Danio rerio: one gene and its partner. Each later gene encodes a partner of the first gene's protein in a complex. Links are inferred from orthologs where the notes say so. Each region holds a gene or a part of one and is shown in the gene's direction. Other genes may lie near its edges.

Region 1 (8,015 bases):
ACTTTTGAGTATGATGAGGTATTTCCAACTGAAACTGAATATTGAGTAGTGGGCGGGGCTTTAGTTTTGAGCATCATAGCCCCTTTCACACAGTGATACCGGTAAATATCCAAAAAAGATTTCCGGAACGACTTTCCTGGTAAATTCAAAAAAGCGCTGTTCACACAGGCGAGGACGTTACGGAATTTTTCCGGAAAAGAGCATTCACACATCCATCGCAAAATGCCGATAAATTCTGACATCATTAACCAGAAATGAGCTCTAAACGGCTGCGCTTGTGTTTGTAAACATTTGACTACATTACAAACTCTTTGGATGGATCAGAATCGAGTACAACTCCAATGAAAACATATAAAGGAAGACTTTCGCATGTCGAGATGTTCATGATATGTGTGTGTGCTGGCGCTATGGGCGCTCACGGGCACACGCAAAGCTTGAAGGTAAACAAACAACGGATTATCATAAACATTTTATCGATAATTATTTACACAGTTGGCATTAAGAAGAAACATAGAAACGTTATCTGACGAACATCTAGCAGCTAAAGGTGTCTGGAAAAATATTCAAAGGCTTTTATTCTCATAAACCGCGCGCACGTGAATGCGTCTGACTGTTCTGATTGGCTAAAGCAGGTATCTCACATCAGCACGTTCTAGACGTGCACGCGCTCTTTCCGGCAATTTTCCTTCTGCATTCACACAGCGCAGCATTCCGGCAAATTGCCGGTAATGTTACAACTTCTCTTTCCGGAAAATAGCCAGAACGAATTTACCGGTATTTTCAAAAAGGGCCTGTTCACACATACAACCTTTCCGGAAAATTGCCGGTAATTTTCCGGAAAGGTCTGTGTGTGTGAAAGGGGCTATTGCCTCGTAATGGTATGATGGGCAAGGTTAAAGTCCGTCAAAATCTACAATGTTTATTTTGCTAGCGCACACTTTTATTCTTTAGTTAATCCACTGAAAAAATAATATTTTTTTGTAATTAACCATTAAAATCTGGCATTTGGTTCAACATTTAGGGTGGAAGCAAATGGCAATTGTGGGCTTTGATTGAAGATATTTTTTAAACAGTGGGTTAACTAAAGAATAAGATTGTACATTTTGATTTCACGTGCACTTTAAGGGTGCTTTTACACCTACACTTTTGTTTGGGAACGTGTCTCGTTTGCCCAGTTAGCGCAGTTCGTTTGGCATATGTGAACAGGGCAATCGCGCTCTGTTCCGCGCCAAAGTAATCGCTCCGAGACCGCTTGAGTGAGGAGGTCTCGGCTCGATTAGAAAGAACCCTGGAGCGGTTTGATTGCAGTGAGAAAGTGATCCGATCCGAGCGCGGTTACATCACAGTGTTTTATGGATATGTAATAGGCTTACGGCTATATGAAGAGAGAATTATGAGCATGGCGGGAAGTTTCGCGAGTCTCCGGATGCCCGCAAACGAGTGATGATCTCCCGGTAATCTCGAGTCTCCCTCCCGGTCCTCAAATAGGCATCGTCACGCACCCTTCTCCCCCCTCCCCACTGCATCTCTCCTCAGACACGTCGCGCGTGCACCCTGTCAATCACCATCAAACCACCACCTCTCCTGACAGCTGAGCGGGACGCTGCAAATTAAACCCTCTGAGATAAACAAATCTCTGTTTCGGAACAACTGAATCGATTCACAGGTGTGAAAGCAGCCTAAAGCTGGAAGTTTCAGTACAATGATGTGTTTCCAACTGAAACTGAATATTGATTAGGGGGGGCGGAGTTTTATTTTTTGCGATGGTAGGGGGCGTGGCTTAGCACATTTTGCCCAAACCAAATTATTATAGTTAACCAAAACAAGTGAAAAGACAAAAACTAAAGGTTAAAATAATTTTCTTTCATTTTCTTGTCAGATTAGTCCCTTTATTAATCCGGGGTCGCCACAACGGAATGAACCGCCAACTTATCCAGCAAGTTTTTACGCAGCGTATGCCCTTCCAGCCGCAACCCATCCCTGGGAAACATCCACACACACATTCACACACACACACTCATACACTACAGACAATTTAGCCTACCCATTCTCCTGCATGTCTTTGGACTGTGGGGGAAACCGGAGCACCCAGAGGAAACCCACACGAACGCAGGGAGAACATGCAAACTCCACACAGAAACGCCAACTGAGCCGAGGCTCGACCCAGCGACCTTCTTGCTGTGAGGCGACAGCACTACCTACTGCGCCACTGCTGTAAACGCAAACCAAAATCGTCCCGGAGTGCAGGGGTCCGTTCTTCTTACCTCGCTTAAATGATCTAAGATGATTTGGCAGATCCTGGATCTTTTAATCTTGATAACTGATCTCTCGCTAATTTGGTTCTTCAAACAAGTTCGCAAATCAGATTAGAATGTCTGGATAAACTGATCTGAGATCGCTGCGTGTGTTGTAAAGGAAAGATCTATCCATCCTCGAAATCATGATCAGCAATGCAACGATTGGCTGACGGCACAGCAGCGTAATGACATCATCTGATTAATATTCAATTATCCATGTGAGCAAAATTACATCAAATTAGCAGTAAACGGCTTGTTAAATATGACACGCAATAACCTTCCACATTTGTTGTGAGCTGCAGGCTTTACACTTCATCATGTATTTCAATGCAAATCAATGTATTTAGTTCTACATTTAGAAAAGATTTTCTTTATTATAGTAGTTGTTTTTTTAATCGGTGTAAAGAATAACTGGTTGTTTACAAAAGCATTTTGATATTGGTAAAGGTGTCTGCAACTTTTGTGAAGCATCAAATCCATGGCATATTAACTATTAAAACATGTTTATGACTGCATAAATGTATTATTGCTTTAAAAAAAGTAACATATTCTGCATTTCTATTATACACAATTTGTACTAAAGCGATCTAAAAAGTTCATATCAATAAGTTTTCTCTTCGCACTACCAGGTGGCAGTCTTTGTACTTTCATTTCGAGGGTGCAGATTGCATAAGTTTTATTAATATGTATAACTTTATTTATTTTATTAATGACTATAACTTTATACATATATATATATATATATATATAGTTAAAAATATGTACCATTTTCCCAAGTGTATATAACTACTACTGTAAGAAAATATCAGAATTCAGAACATACTTTCTGTATTATATTTGCTTGAACTGAGCCGATCTAATCCTGTTTATATGAATTGAACCTGCTCCCGACCAGGTTTGACCTAGCAGAACTGTTGCTATGACAACAACTCTCGGATCAGCTTTGAAGAACGAAACGATCCTGGATCGTGTCAAATCATCAATATCCAAATCCAGCTAACTGAGTAATCCACGTACGAAGAACAGACCCCAGGAGCCTTTGCTCAAAGTACTCGTTAATGCTTAGTTTGAGGCAGTTTTAATGTGAGCATCATCACAGAGTAGATGAACAGTGTCTCCTAATGAGCGTCTCTTGTGTTTCAGGCTTGGCTCAATGAGAAGTTTTCTCCAGAACTGTTGGAGAACAAGTCTGAGCTGGTGGAGTGTGTGATGGAGCAGCTCACACACATGGTATGAGTCTGTCTGCAGTGTTTCTCAGTCTGATTAAACTTTGCGTGACGGATGTTAGCCTGTAGACGAGTCAGATTGACCGTTTCAGTATCGATCATGACTTGTGGTGTGATTTAGGAGGAAAACCTGCAGCGTGTGAGGAAAGGAGACCTGAAGGCCAGTGTTCACCGCATGGAGATCGACCGCATCCGCTTCGTTCTCAGCAGCTTCCTGCGCTCCCGACTCAAGAAGGTAAATCGAGCGTAATTTATTCAGAAAGACTGGCAGTACGCTATAGCGCATGTGTTTGGGACTGTGGGGGAAACACCCGGAGGAAACCCACGCCAACACGGGGAGAGCATGCGAACTCCACACTGAAACGCCAGTCGGGACTCACACCAGATCTGTTCTGTAGGCTGATGTTGTGTCCACGTCTGGTTTTCTCGTCTGCAGATCGAGAAGTTTTTCCCTCATGTTCTGGAGAAGGAGAAGTCCCGTGCTGATGGAGACCCCTCGTTCCTGTCTCCTGAAGAGTTCGCCTTCGCTAAAGAGTGAGTTCAGCGCAATCTGCGACTGTCGCACTGAGGATCTGTTCATGTCTGTCAGAGAGACGCTTCTGGACCGAATGATGAGGGCGATTGAGGACAGAGAGAGAGAGAATTTAAGTGTGTGTGTGTGTGTGTGTGTGTGTGTGTGTGTGTGTGTGTCTGTTTGTTTGTGTGTGTGCACGTCTGTCTATGTATGTGTGTGTCTGCATCTGTTTGTGTCTGTGTTTGTCTTTGCGTGTGTCTGTGTGTGTGTGTGTGTGTGTGTGTGTTTGTCTTTGTGTGTGTGGGTGTTTGTTTGTGTCTGTGTGTGTCTGTTTTTGTGTGTGTGTGTCTGTCTGTGTGTGTGTGTCTTTGTGCATTTTTGTTTGTGTGTGTACATATCTATGTATGTATGTATGTATGTATGTATGTATGTATGTATGTATGTGTGTGTGTGTGTGTGTCGGGTATGTATGTGTGTGTTTGTGTTAGTGTGTGTGTCTGTGTGTGTGTGTCTTTTTGCAATTTTGTGTGTGTGTGTGTGTGTGTACATGTCTATGTATGTATGTATTTGTGTGTGTCGGGTATGTATGTGTGTGTGTTTGTGTTTGTTAGTGTGTGCACGTCTGTCTGTATGTGTGTGTGTGTCTGTGTGTTTTTTGTTTGTGTCTGTGTTTGTGTCTGTTTGTCTGTGTGTCTGTGTGTATGTGTGTCTGGTATGTATGTGTGTGTGTGTCTGTTAGCGTGTATGTGTGTGTGTGTGTGTGTGTGTGTGCACGTCTGTCTATGTATGTGTGTGTCTGTGTGTTTTGTTTGTGTCTATGTGTGTTTGTGTCTGTGTGTTTGTCTGTCTGTGTGTGTGTGTCTGTCTGTTTGTCTGTGTGTGTGTGTGTGTGTCTGGTATGTGTGGGTGTTTGTTAGCGTGTATGTGTGTGTGCACGTCTGTCTATGTATGTGTGTGTCTGTGTGTTTTTTGTTTGTGACTATGTGTGTTTGTCTTTGTGTGTGTGTTTGTGTCTATCTGTGTGTGTGTCTTTGTGTGAGTGTGTGTGTAAATGTCTGTGTGTGTGTATGTGTGTATATGTGTTTGTCTGTCTTTGTGTGTATGTGTGTGTTTGTCTGTCTGTCTCTGTGCGTGTGTGAATGAGTGTGTACCTGATATCCATTACATTATGGGGACAATAAAATACAGCAATTCCAGTACATTTTGACATTGTGGGGACATTATTTTGGTTCCCTTGAGGAAAAGTGGCCCATAAATCAGACAGAATGAAGTATTTTGTAAGATGTAAATTTGCAGATTGTTTCCAGTGAGGGTGGGGTTGGGGAAGAGTAAATACAATAGAAACATCATTACATCTATGGTGAAGTCCCCAATAAACATGAAAACTCAATGTGTGTGTGTGTGTGTTCAGGTATCTGGCGAACACAGAGGTTTACCTGCGAGCCGTGGCTTTGAAACATATGCCACCAAACCTGCAGAGCGTCGACATGATGAAGGCCGGTGAGAAACACTTCTGTATTGAAATAGCCCCTATTATGCATTAAAAGGTCATGTTGTGGATTTGGGGGTCTCCAACAACAGGCTGATCTGCATATAGGGTCAAAAAACACCTTCATTGTCTTATAATATGCGTTTATTTTTACCTGATTACCTAACGACTCCCAGGTGATTCAATCAGTGATTCATTTTTTTTTCCCCCGAACAACGACTGTAAAAAATATGTGAACAAATATGCTCCCATTGAACGCCTTAAATGCATGACGGGCACAAACTGTCGCAAAACACTGCTGAAATTGGAGCATGCGCAATAGAACTGCCTGATGGAGCCAGAGGCGGAGCTGCAGAATCAAGCTTCCAATCAAATGTGTGTACGCCAAATCAACCACGCCCCCCGAACGTCTCACCTGACCGCCCGTTTCTGCACAATAACAAAGGCTCGCTAATTTAAATATAAGCACTTGCATTCAAACACATGTAATTATATACGATTTATTTGAAAACTGTGATGCAAGCTGTTATTAATAATTTAATAAAAATAATATCTGCTGGACTGCAGAAATAAAAGTTAGACTCCGCTATGAGCACACAAAATATTTCTCTTATAACGGGTTGTTGGTATTTGGCATCTTCATAGTGTCACGGTAGAGCGACCAAAACAGGAACAAAAAAAACGGGTGTAGAATCCAAGTGCAGTTTAATTGATGTATAGGGCAGTGAAAGTGACAAAAATACAAAGTAACAAAATAGCAAACTAACAAAACAAGAAACTAAGACAGATTAAACTCGAACTAGACTATAACAAGATACAAGAGCAAGGATCAGGAATAACATTAAAAAACGACAACGACCAACTGACAAACAGAGGATAAATGACTGAATATATAGTCCAGGTAATCAACGGAGAACGGAGACAGCTGTGGTTGTAAATCAGTGTAGATGACAGACCGGGTGTGTGCGCGAAAATATGTATGGAAATGTAGTTCTTTAGCCACTGTAGTTCATTGGGGGTTGCTGGCACCTGGTGGACAAACACAGTCATGACACAAAGGGGTAGAAAACTTGTAAAGTATGAAGAATAACATATCAACGACACATACATTTTTTAGAAAGGCTTTTGTTCTTAATTAGCAATCACCAGGACCCAAAATACACGCACCATGAACAGCTATTTACCATGCGGGAAAATCGTGTGTTTATATTAGAAACAGTGGCGTAGCGCAAAATGCGGAGTCCCCCTGCAGGGATCGCTGACGGGGCCCACTGATGAAGAGGGGGGGGGGGGATACGTCATACGCCAATTTGCATATCACTGACGTCATCACGTTTTACCGTTTCTGTTTGTTTTACACCCTATGGTTAATAAAGGGGTATTTATAATTGCACTACACTTTATATAAGCATGTTTATTAACTAAATGTATTGCTGTTTGAATACAGTATGTCATTATAGATGTGTAGTGAATGTGCAGTAATCTCTCATATGTAATAAACTCAGACAAATTCAGAAACTGTCACTAATATCTGTGATTGTTAAAATAAAGTAGAAGTAGATCGGTTTGACTGTACAAGGGAAATACCTTTACACTGCCTGTGCTAAATCATTTGTTGTCGGTACGCAGAGGGGTGATCTGCTCTCGGGCTGCAGATGAGAGAGGCTGCTGTAGAGGACTGACTGGGCCGCCTGTCAGTGCTGTGAGGCGGGGGAGGGGTCGGCGGCATCACACGCAGCTCGTTGAGAAGAGTAGGGACGGTACAGTATGGACAAATGACAGTCTAAAAAAATCTCCAATAACATACAAAAAAGTCGCTAGATTTGTCGTTAGGGGGTCTGAAAAGTCGCTAAATCTAGTGACAAAGTCGCTAAGTTGGCAACATTGGCGGCAAGCAATCAGAATGAAGTAGTCCACCGCTTGAGAGGTGTTTAGAGAACACAGACCTGTGAACTTTGGTTCCGACCACAGTTGTTCCCAAGAGTTTGATTATTGCGGTTGCCGGTTGATTTTCAATTATTGAAAATCGCGACGACGCGGGGCCCCCTAATCACGCGGGGCCCCCCCGCGGTGCGTGCCCTGCGGGCCCATCCGCTACGCCACTGATTAGAAAAGGATACAGCAAGATTTCTAAATATCAACAGGATATTTACACATCTCTGCACTATATAAAATAACCCTTTTCAATTTGTACAATAAACTATTGTACAAAATATTGCTGGCATATTGTTCGATTTTTTTTTTTTTTTTTTGTCTTTGCCTCCGTTTTCATTTGGTTTATTCAATGCCTTAATTATATCTGGCAAAGAGGAGTTTACATTCATTTGAATGTTTATTAGGAATTTTCAAATAAAAAGTCAACGGTAAATGGTGTGTATAAATAATACATGTAACATTTACAGCTTTTTTTTGTTATTTAAGATTCAGTTTCTAGAACATTAATACTTTATAAATGCAAATTCAGTAGATTAACTTAATAATATGATGAA
Region 2 (8,015 bases), on another chromosome or scaffold:
TTAACCATGTATGATATAATTACTAACCCCTCATCTAAAATAATAAAATAGCCTATTGTTTTATTCATGGCTAGAGTTTGATTCATTTGATTGAAATCCTAGGCAATGAGACCTTTAATTCACCTGGTTGAATGTGAGTTTGCACGCAGCGCTGTATTTGGTAGCACAAACACTTGCTCTGATCCGGGAGAGAACTTTACCAATGACTACATGCGCTGCTGAAAGACTTTTTTTTCCTGCTGCGCATCGAATAAAGCAAAGAAAGACATGCTTAACATCATCGATGTCCACAACAACACCACTATATCCATGGAACATGAACTTGCCAACTCTTTTTAACAACGAGGAAATAATTGTACTTTTTAATTCAAAGCCCAGGCGGCTTGTTAATTTAATACCGGCGAGACCACCTGAAGGATTGCTACAGCGTGCTGTAATTGTTGGCTGTCCAAAAGTCTACGGTCGGTAGAAAGTGAACTCTTAATTTTTATGGACTTTGCTTGAAAGCTTTACGGAGTGGCACTGTATCTGTCCAAGGTACCGTTGTATGATTTATATTATAGCCTATATATGCACCAATAAACAAGTCAAATGAATGAATAAAAAAATATGGATTATTTATTGTCGGTATTGCTTTTACTCAAAAAATAACAGTACTTTTTGACAAATGTTTTACAAAAATAAAATGAGCAATTTTTATCATTTCTAAAGGCCATTTTATGATTTAGTTATACATAAGTTTGACATTTATGGGGGCATGTAACATGTTTCTGTGTTTTTTGTGATCTGTAATATATACTGGGTAGCTATGCAAATATTTTCTGAAACGTCAAGCAAGAATTTGCTTACAGCTTTTTAGTTAATTATGAAGACAAAAAAAAAAATAACAAAAATAAAACGATAAAAATACAAAGATAAAAGAGCAGCATTTTGCTAAATATAATAGTCCTTTATATGCTTTATATCCTGCTTTGTGTTGTTTCGTATTAATTTTTTTATTTCACTTGCTGCATTCGTTATTTAACGTTTGAATACTGAAACAAATAGCAGCCATCACTTAAAGGGTTATATTTTACCATCAAAATGTAGTATATGTTAAATCATTATCAACTTTTGATATAAAACCACTGTGTAATTTGATTGATTGTCAAAAATGAAACAATTTAAGTGCTATATTTTTTATTTATGAAAGTGCCTGCTTCTGCCACTATAATACAAATGCACTATTATTGTTGCCTTATCATTGTTTAATTTTCTGTTATGTTCAGAGATTTTAAATATATTATTTATTTCCCCTCCACTCATTTTCAATCATCACGTTACATTTTGGTCATTTTCTCTCTAAATAAAATTTATCCAGAGCCGCGCAACATACCTCTAATAAATAAGGGTTCTGTGACATGTACCTATATTTAGCAGCCCTGTATAATGGAGGGGCTTAACAGTGTTTAGACACATGGTTGCTTTCGTTTTTATGAACATGAAAAAACTAGTTTCGTCTTAAATTTAATTTAAATTTAATTGAACAAAGGGAGCCGTTTACATTGTGTTGCCAGGGCAACTATTGATGCGTTTTGTGTAATGTTTTGAAAGAGCTTTGTTGCAGCACTTGTATCTGTGCTGTCTGGCTCGGTTTGGCACGGAATGGAACGGTTCTGCACAAAGAACGATTCCGCACGATAGTGGAAAAGCGGCTCTTGATATATCCTAATCTCCCCCAAGCAAAGCACTTTACCATTCTAAATGAACAAAGAGCTATATTTTTCTACTATATTTTTCTCTCCATTGACAAAGCTAGGCTACTACAGGTGTGATGCATCTCTGTTGTTAAAGCTGTCATTTTATATTAATTTAACAACATTCTGGTTTTATCACTTGACAAAAATTCAATGAAAAGAAAAAAATACACTTTAAAAATGTCTACAATTCCTGCTGGTGTCAGGACTCAAAGCTGCAATTTTTTTTCTAAGTGTTTGAAAATGAAAGGCCTGGTGCTGTGATGATCATAGCAAATACAACAGTCTGAATGTTCTTTACAAGCATTGTAAAAGTTTTAACAATCATTATTAACTTTTATTTTTGAAGTGCTTGTGATGGCCGTACCATGCATGTTCTTTATCTAAATACATTTGGTAATATTGAAAATCAGCATGTCTTAACTGTATTCTATAAAACACTGACACATGCTTATTGATCATGTCCATATATTTGCACTTGAAATTAATAATATTGTTTATTGTATATTGAAATATTATATTTGTGTTCAGTGCTGCAGATAACATTCCCAAAGCCGATGAGATTCGAACGCTGGTGAAGGACATCTGGGATACACGTATGGCTAAGCTGAGGCTTTCAGCTGACAGTTTCATCAGCCAGCAGGAAGCTCACGCTCAGGTAAAACCCCACAATTATCATGACCAACTGATGAGTAGATCAAAACCACTCAATACTCTGTCAGGTGCACAGTAAACCTGCACTAAGACTGATTTCTAGCTTCGCTTGGTTCCTTTTCACAAGCTTTTACTTACTGTACGTGGACAGCCCTGATTGGTGAAGGCTTAAGGCTGGTCATACTCTGCAAGTTGGGTTAGTTGCATGTGGTGAATGTGACGTTATCACAGCATTTACGGATGTTCACTTTGAGTGAGTGAGTGAGTGGGTGGGTGGGTGTGTGAGTGCTGAGGAAATTTGAATGTACAACAACTTTTAGAAATCCTAAACAATAATGTGAAGTCACTTTAGGTTTCATTTGAAGCTTTGAGGGAAAATATTGCATATATTTTGTGCAGAGGTTGTCCAATGCTTTTCTGTTGTATAAAAGTTTTTGCATTAAGCATGCTGTTAGCTTTAATATATAAAACATAGCTTAAATTAACCTTTAAATGCAAACAATTTCAAAAGTGTACTTTGAAAATATCCACAACCCAATAATATTATATATAACTAAATGCTTTCATTTAGGAACTTCACTCACTGACTTTTTCTTCAGCACTGTTTTATTGTGACATTTACTCTGATTCACCTCCTGTTATTACAATTAATAGTACAGCGGCAGGTGGGTCAAATAGCCGTTACTTTAAAGATGCTTCTTGATTTATGAATCTTTGGATATTTGGAATTCTATACATTATCTGAGAAGTTTGAAAAGACACTTTGGGACTTGGGTTTGCTATTATATTATTATTGTTATTATATTACGATGTCCATATTGGTTCTGCTTATTTTATGCACTGCTAATGATGTCTCATACGGCAATGAAAGCTGGTTATCATATTTCTGTGCATTCTATCATAAAGTTACTCAAGACAGAATGCTACATCTTCATTTTTACATTCTTACATACACAACTTTAGTAGGTTTAATAGGAATGTTTGTGTTTTTTATATAAACAAATCATAGGCTGAATTGTTTAAATTAATTGCAGTCTTTTTCAATTTTAGTTATGCAGATGTATTGAAACGGGATGTTAGTTCGATAAAATATAGAATAATCCTGGGAAAAATGCAAGGGTTGACATTTAATTTTCTAAACACTTTCATATTTCCCAACATTCAGTAAACAACAGCATTCATTTTAAAGTTGATTAATCGCTTAAGTTCAAAATGAAAAATCAAGCATATTTATATGGGTTCCAGCACACACAGGAAGGAATAAGTTATGTGAACGCTGTGATGTTGAAGAGATTATGCTTGGAAAAGATTAGGGAAAATGTAATGCATTTAAAATGTTAAGGTTTTAATTATTTGGTCAAGTGAAATAAATACTGTAGAATGATTGGAGAGATGGAATCGACAAATAATATAACATTCTGATCCACACTGCCCACTAGTGGTTGGCAGCATTTGTGTAATACAAATGAATAATAAATGAATGACACATATTTATTCATTCATTCGTTTATTTTTCGGCCTATTCCCTTTATTAATCTGGTGTCGCCACCGCGGAGTGAACCGGCAACTTGTTGGTTGTTAATTATTTACTTGATTTAAGGTTTTTTGTTTTTTTTAATGACACCTCTAAAATTTTGATTTACGATTAATCACAACTAATAGCACACAATGAAAGCATGTTTACATAGTAATTTTGTGTACACTGTTAATTAGTATACACACTGATGTGTGTATAAATATATAGATATTGAAAAGGTGTTTTTGTATTGATAGACAAATAATTATATTTAGCAATTTATACTGTATATAATTCCACATGTGTTAATTTAAAATTTTCATAGTCAAGAAAACTCTTTGAATAAGGAAGTGTGTCCAAACTTTTGGTCTGTTCTGTATATAAACGTGAAGTTGTGCTAGAAAGTTTATATACCCCTTAAAAATGTGAATAGTTTTAATAAAAACAGAAAGATAATACATATATTGTAGCTTTTTTGTTGTATTGTTCAGAGAATAGCCTGGTTTATACTTTTGCGTCAAGTGACCGGTGTAACTCACGGCACATGCAACGCGCGGAGCTGTGCATTTATACTTCTGTGCGCTGTCTCTGTTGGTCTGCATTAACACTTCCGAAACGCTGAACACATCCAGAATGTACAAGTGGCTCAAACTCGCACATTTTGAGGCAGGAACCGGCGGATGTGCAAAAACTTTAAATATGAGGTAAACACAAAACAAAACTTTCCATTCGGAGCTCCTTCATGGGACTCCACACTTGTAATCAATCGCTCCAACCGTCTTGCGCCATTCGCGCGGCTCTCGGTCCCGCCCAGACTCGTCAGCACTACCAAGCCGACCAATCACAGAGCTTGCGCTACGCGTCGTTGCGACGTGTAGTTACATTTTTTTTAAAGGGGTGCACGTCAGCCACGGCGTAGGGCTATGCGTCAGCGCCGTAGCATACGGGTACGTTTGACGCAGAAGTATAAATCAACCTTAAGATAATTCATATAAAAAATGTTTACATTTAGGTCACTAGACAAAACTAGCTGAAATAATTAAAATAAACACCTGCAAAATTTGACTGACCTTTTTTTCAATACTGTCTGTGATTTCCACTTTTTCAGCTTTGTGATCATGAGTTGGTCATCAGTTGATCATGAGTTTCTTGTTGTTCTAAACAGTAAAAGTGACGACTGCTCTTCAGAAAAGCTCATCTCCTGCAGATTATTTTGTTTTCTAGTATATTTTGCAGATTTGAACTAGATGTTAACATCTTTTATGTGCAATACGTTACTCAGGACAGTGCTAAATAAAAAATATATATTTGCCTTTGTATATTTGTGTGTGTGTGTGTGTGTGTGTGTGTGTGTGTGTATATATATAAATATATATATATATATATATATATATATATATATATATATATATATATATATATATATATATATATATATATTTAAATTATTCACAATTTAACAAATTTTTCAAGGGGTATGAAAACATGAGCACAACTGAATATGTTCATATTTTTAAAGTGTACACACACACATGTACAGTTGAAGTCAGAATTATTAGCCCCCCTCAATTATTAGCCTCCTTTTTATTTTTTCCCCTAATTTCTGTTTAACGGAGAGCAGATTTTTTTTCAACACATTTCTATATTCAATTCACCTTTATTTGAATAGCACTTTCACAATGTAGATTGTGTCAAAGCAGCTTCACATATAAGATCATAGTAAAATGAAAACCGTGTCAGTCCAGTTTTCAGAGGTTAAGTTCAGTTCAGTTTAGCTCAGTTTAGTGTGGTTTAATATTCAATACTGAGTCCAAACACTGAAGAGCAAATCCATCTATGCGCAGCTCTACAAGATCCCGAACCATGCAAGCTAGTGACGACAGCAGCGAGGAAAAAACTTCACCAATTGGCGAAAGTAAAGAATTGAAAAAACCTTGAGAGAAACCAGGCTCAGCTGGGCATGACCATTTCTCCACTGGCCAAACATCTTGTGCAGAGCTGCAGTCTAGGTGCCGGAGGCATAATAGTTTTAATAACTCATTTATAATAACTGATTTATTTTATCTTTGCCATGATGACAGTAAATAATATTTGACTAGATATTTTTCAAGACACTTCTATACAGCTTAAAGTGACATTTAAAGGCTTAACTAGGTTAATTAGGTTAAATAGGCAGGTTAGGGTAATTAGGCAAGTATTGCGTTTGTTCTGTAGACTATTGAAAAAAATATAGCTTAAAGGGGCTAATAATTTTCACCTTAAAATGAACTTAAACCTTTAAAAAAATGAAAACTACTTTTTATTCTAGCCGAAATAAAACAAATAAGACTTTCTCCAGAAGAAAAAATATTATCAGACATACCGTGAAAATTTCCTTGCTCTGTTAAACATCATTTGGGTTAATAATTCTCACTTCTACTGTATATTGGTGCATTTCTATGTGTATTTAAAATAAGTGTGTGCACTGTGAATATATCTGTAAATACCAACTTTTACTTATACAAAAATACAAACTTAATTAAACATTAAACTGCACCATTCAGCGGCAAACATTTGTTATCAGATTTATGGTGATGAAAATTGTCACAGTGTCTAACAGCTGAAGTATACTTTGGTCTTGATTGTACTCTAGAAAAGTTTCATGCTCCACTATTAATAGCCACCTTTCCTAATTACAAGTGTAAAATGTTACTTAACCTAGAGTTAAAGCACGCTTTAGAAGTGCACAATGAATCCCAGTATTAATCAAATGTTTAACGTGATCGATTGATGGCCTTTCATTCTGTCTTTAGCTGGATAATCTCACACTAATGGAGATCAACACTACACGCTCGTTTCTGCTGGACTCTCTGAACTACATGTATAAACTGCGCTCAAACCTGCAGCCGGGCAGAAGTAAAGACTACTGAGACACGATCAGGTACTTCAGCCATTCCTCTCCTATCAACAGACTGAAGTTTGCTTTTATCTTCTGCAAATGATATTTGAAAGATTACTAAGAGCAGAATCTTTTCTCAAATAATGGCCACTGCTGGCGCTCGGCGTGTAAATAGTGACTGATGTTCCCTTAGAATCCTTTACTGTTTGTGTGTGTTGTAGTGTTTTATTACTAAAATGTTTATATTTGACTAAATAAATGTATAAACCTAAATTTATACTTGTATTGTTGTGATTTCTTTTATGAATATGTGAAACACCCAATGCAGAGACATCCCTCCAACACAAATTCACCAAAAGAGTTCAAGCTTTTTCAAAAGACCTGGTTGCTTTGCTTTATATTATAAGATAAACCGGTTTGGGGCTTTTATCCCTGGAAAATAGACACCACCTGGATTCAACTAAGCTTAACTAAGTTATTGAACACTAACAGATGCAGAGAGTACCTTCTCATTTCTTAAACCATCTGTAAATTATTGGCATGCATCAAGCATAAAAAACATATAAGGAGATTGCTAAAACTAATATTACAACTAAACCCACTTATCAGTGAGCAGGGCTCACATTTAAAACCAATCTTCAAGTTTCCTGACTGTTCCATGACTTTTAACTGACCAAAAGCTAAATTTCCATGACCTATAGAACAGAAAAGCAGGCATCTCATGTTGTGCACTGAGCAAAGCGTATTTTAAATCCATACATTTGCTAGCTTCATTTACTTGTTTACAGACATTTTTGGTATACAACAAGTATATTGTATTTGGTATACAAGTTATTCAGCAAAAAAATAAAACAAGTAATTGAAGAATTTTTAAAATGCTTATTTTATTGTGTCGTGTTGTCTGTCGCATCTAGGACCCAGATGTTTCAAGGGCATTGTCAGTCTTTTCAGTTAGCCTTCAACATTAATGCAACATGAGTTAAAAGTACATTAAATAACAAATCATTTACCCAAATATGAATTTAAATACATGCCAATACCAGTTGCAGGGTCTAACAATTTATGGAAATATTACATTTTGATATACAGTTGAAGTCAGAATTATTGGACCCTGTTTATTTTTTTCTGCAATTTCTGTTTAACGGAGAGCAGATGTTTTCAATAATTCTGACTTCAACTGTTTGCAGTGTCTCAAAAAAAATCCAAGTAAAATGAATTCTGTCAGAATTGT

The links. Proteins that work in one complex are often made in the same cells at the same time.
Region 2: the proteins of gins4 (region 1) and gins2 are in contact, whole or in part, in a crystal structure (PDB 2E9X), measured with the Homo sapiens proteins. The link is inferred for Danio rerio from reciprocal best matches to the Homo sapiens genes GINS4 and GINS2. Residues at the interface, in NP_115712.1 of Homo sapiens: Pro23, Ala24, Ile27, Glu28, Glu31, Trp34, Met35, Lys38, Phe39, Gln57, Met61, Leu73, Lys74, Ser76, Ile77, His78, Met80, Glu81, Arg84, Ile85, Tyr87, Val88, Ser91, Asp166, Asp168, Ser169, Tyr170, Val171, Phe172, Val184; in NP_057179.1 of Homo sapiens: Met1, Glu5, Phe8, Leu9, Glu11, Lys12, Phe21, Leu23, Asp24, Lys25, Ile26, Tyr27, Leu28, Ile29, Gly30, Trp47, Leu48, Asn51, Leu52, Arg55, Lys57, Phe135, Gln139, Glu140, Ala141, His142, Ala143, Lys144, Leu145, Asp146.

Annotation. Positions count from the first base shown.
Region 1 is NC_133183.1:62,248,787-62,256,801, forward strand, and holds part of gins4 (DNA replication complex GINS protein SLD5), read left to right. Parts: intron 1-3,440; coding exon 3,441-3,527; intron 3,528-3,644; coding exon 3,645-3,758; intron 3,759-3,959; coding exon 3,960-4,057; intron 4,058-5,448; coding exon 5,449-5,537; intron 5,538-8,015. UniProt on the Homo sapiens protein: Required for correct functioning of the GINS complex, a complex that plays an essential role in the initiation of DNA replication, and progression of DNA replication forks.
Region 2 is NC_133193.1:32,035,436-32,043,450, reverse strand, and holds the end of gins2 (DNA replication complex GINS protein PSF2), read left to right. Parts: intron 1-2,267; coding exon 2,268-2,394; intron 2,395-6,698; coding exon 6,699-6,815; 3' UTR 6,816-7,057; downstream 7,058-8,015. UniProt on the Homo sapiens protein: Required for correct functioning of the GINS complex, a complex that plays an essential role in the initiation of DNA replication, and progression of DNA replication forks.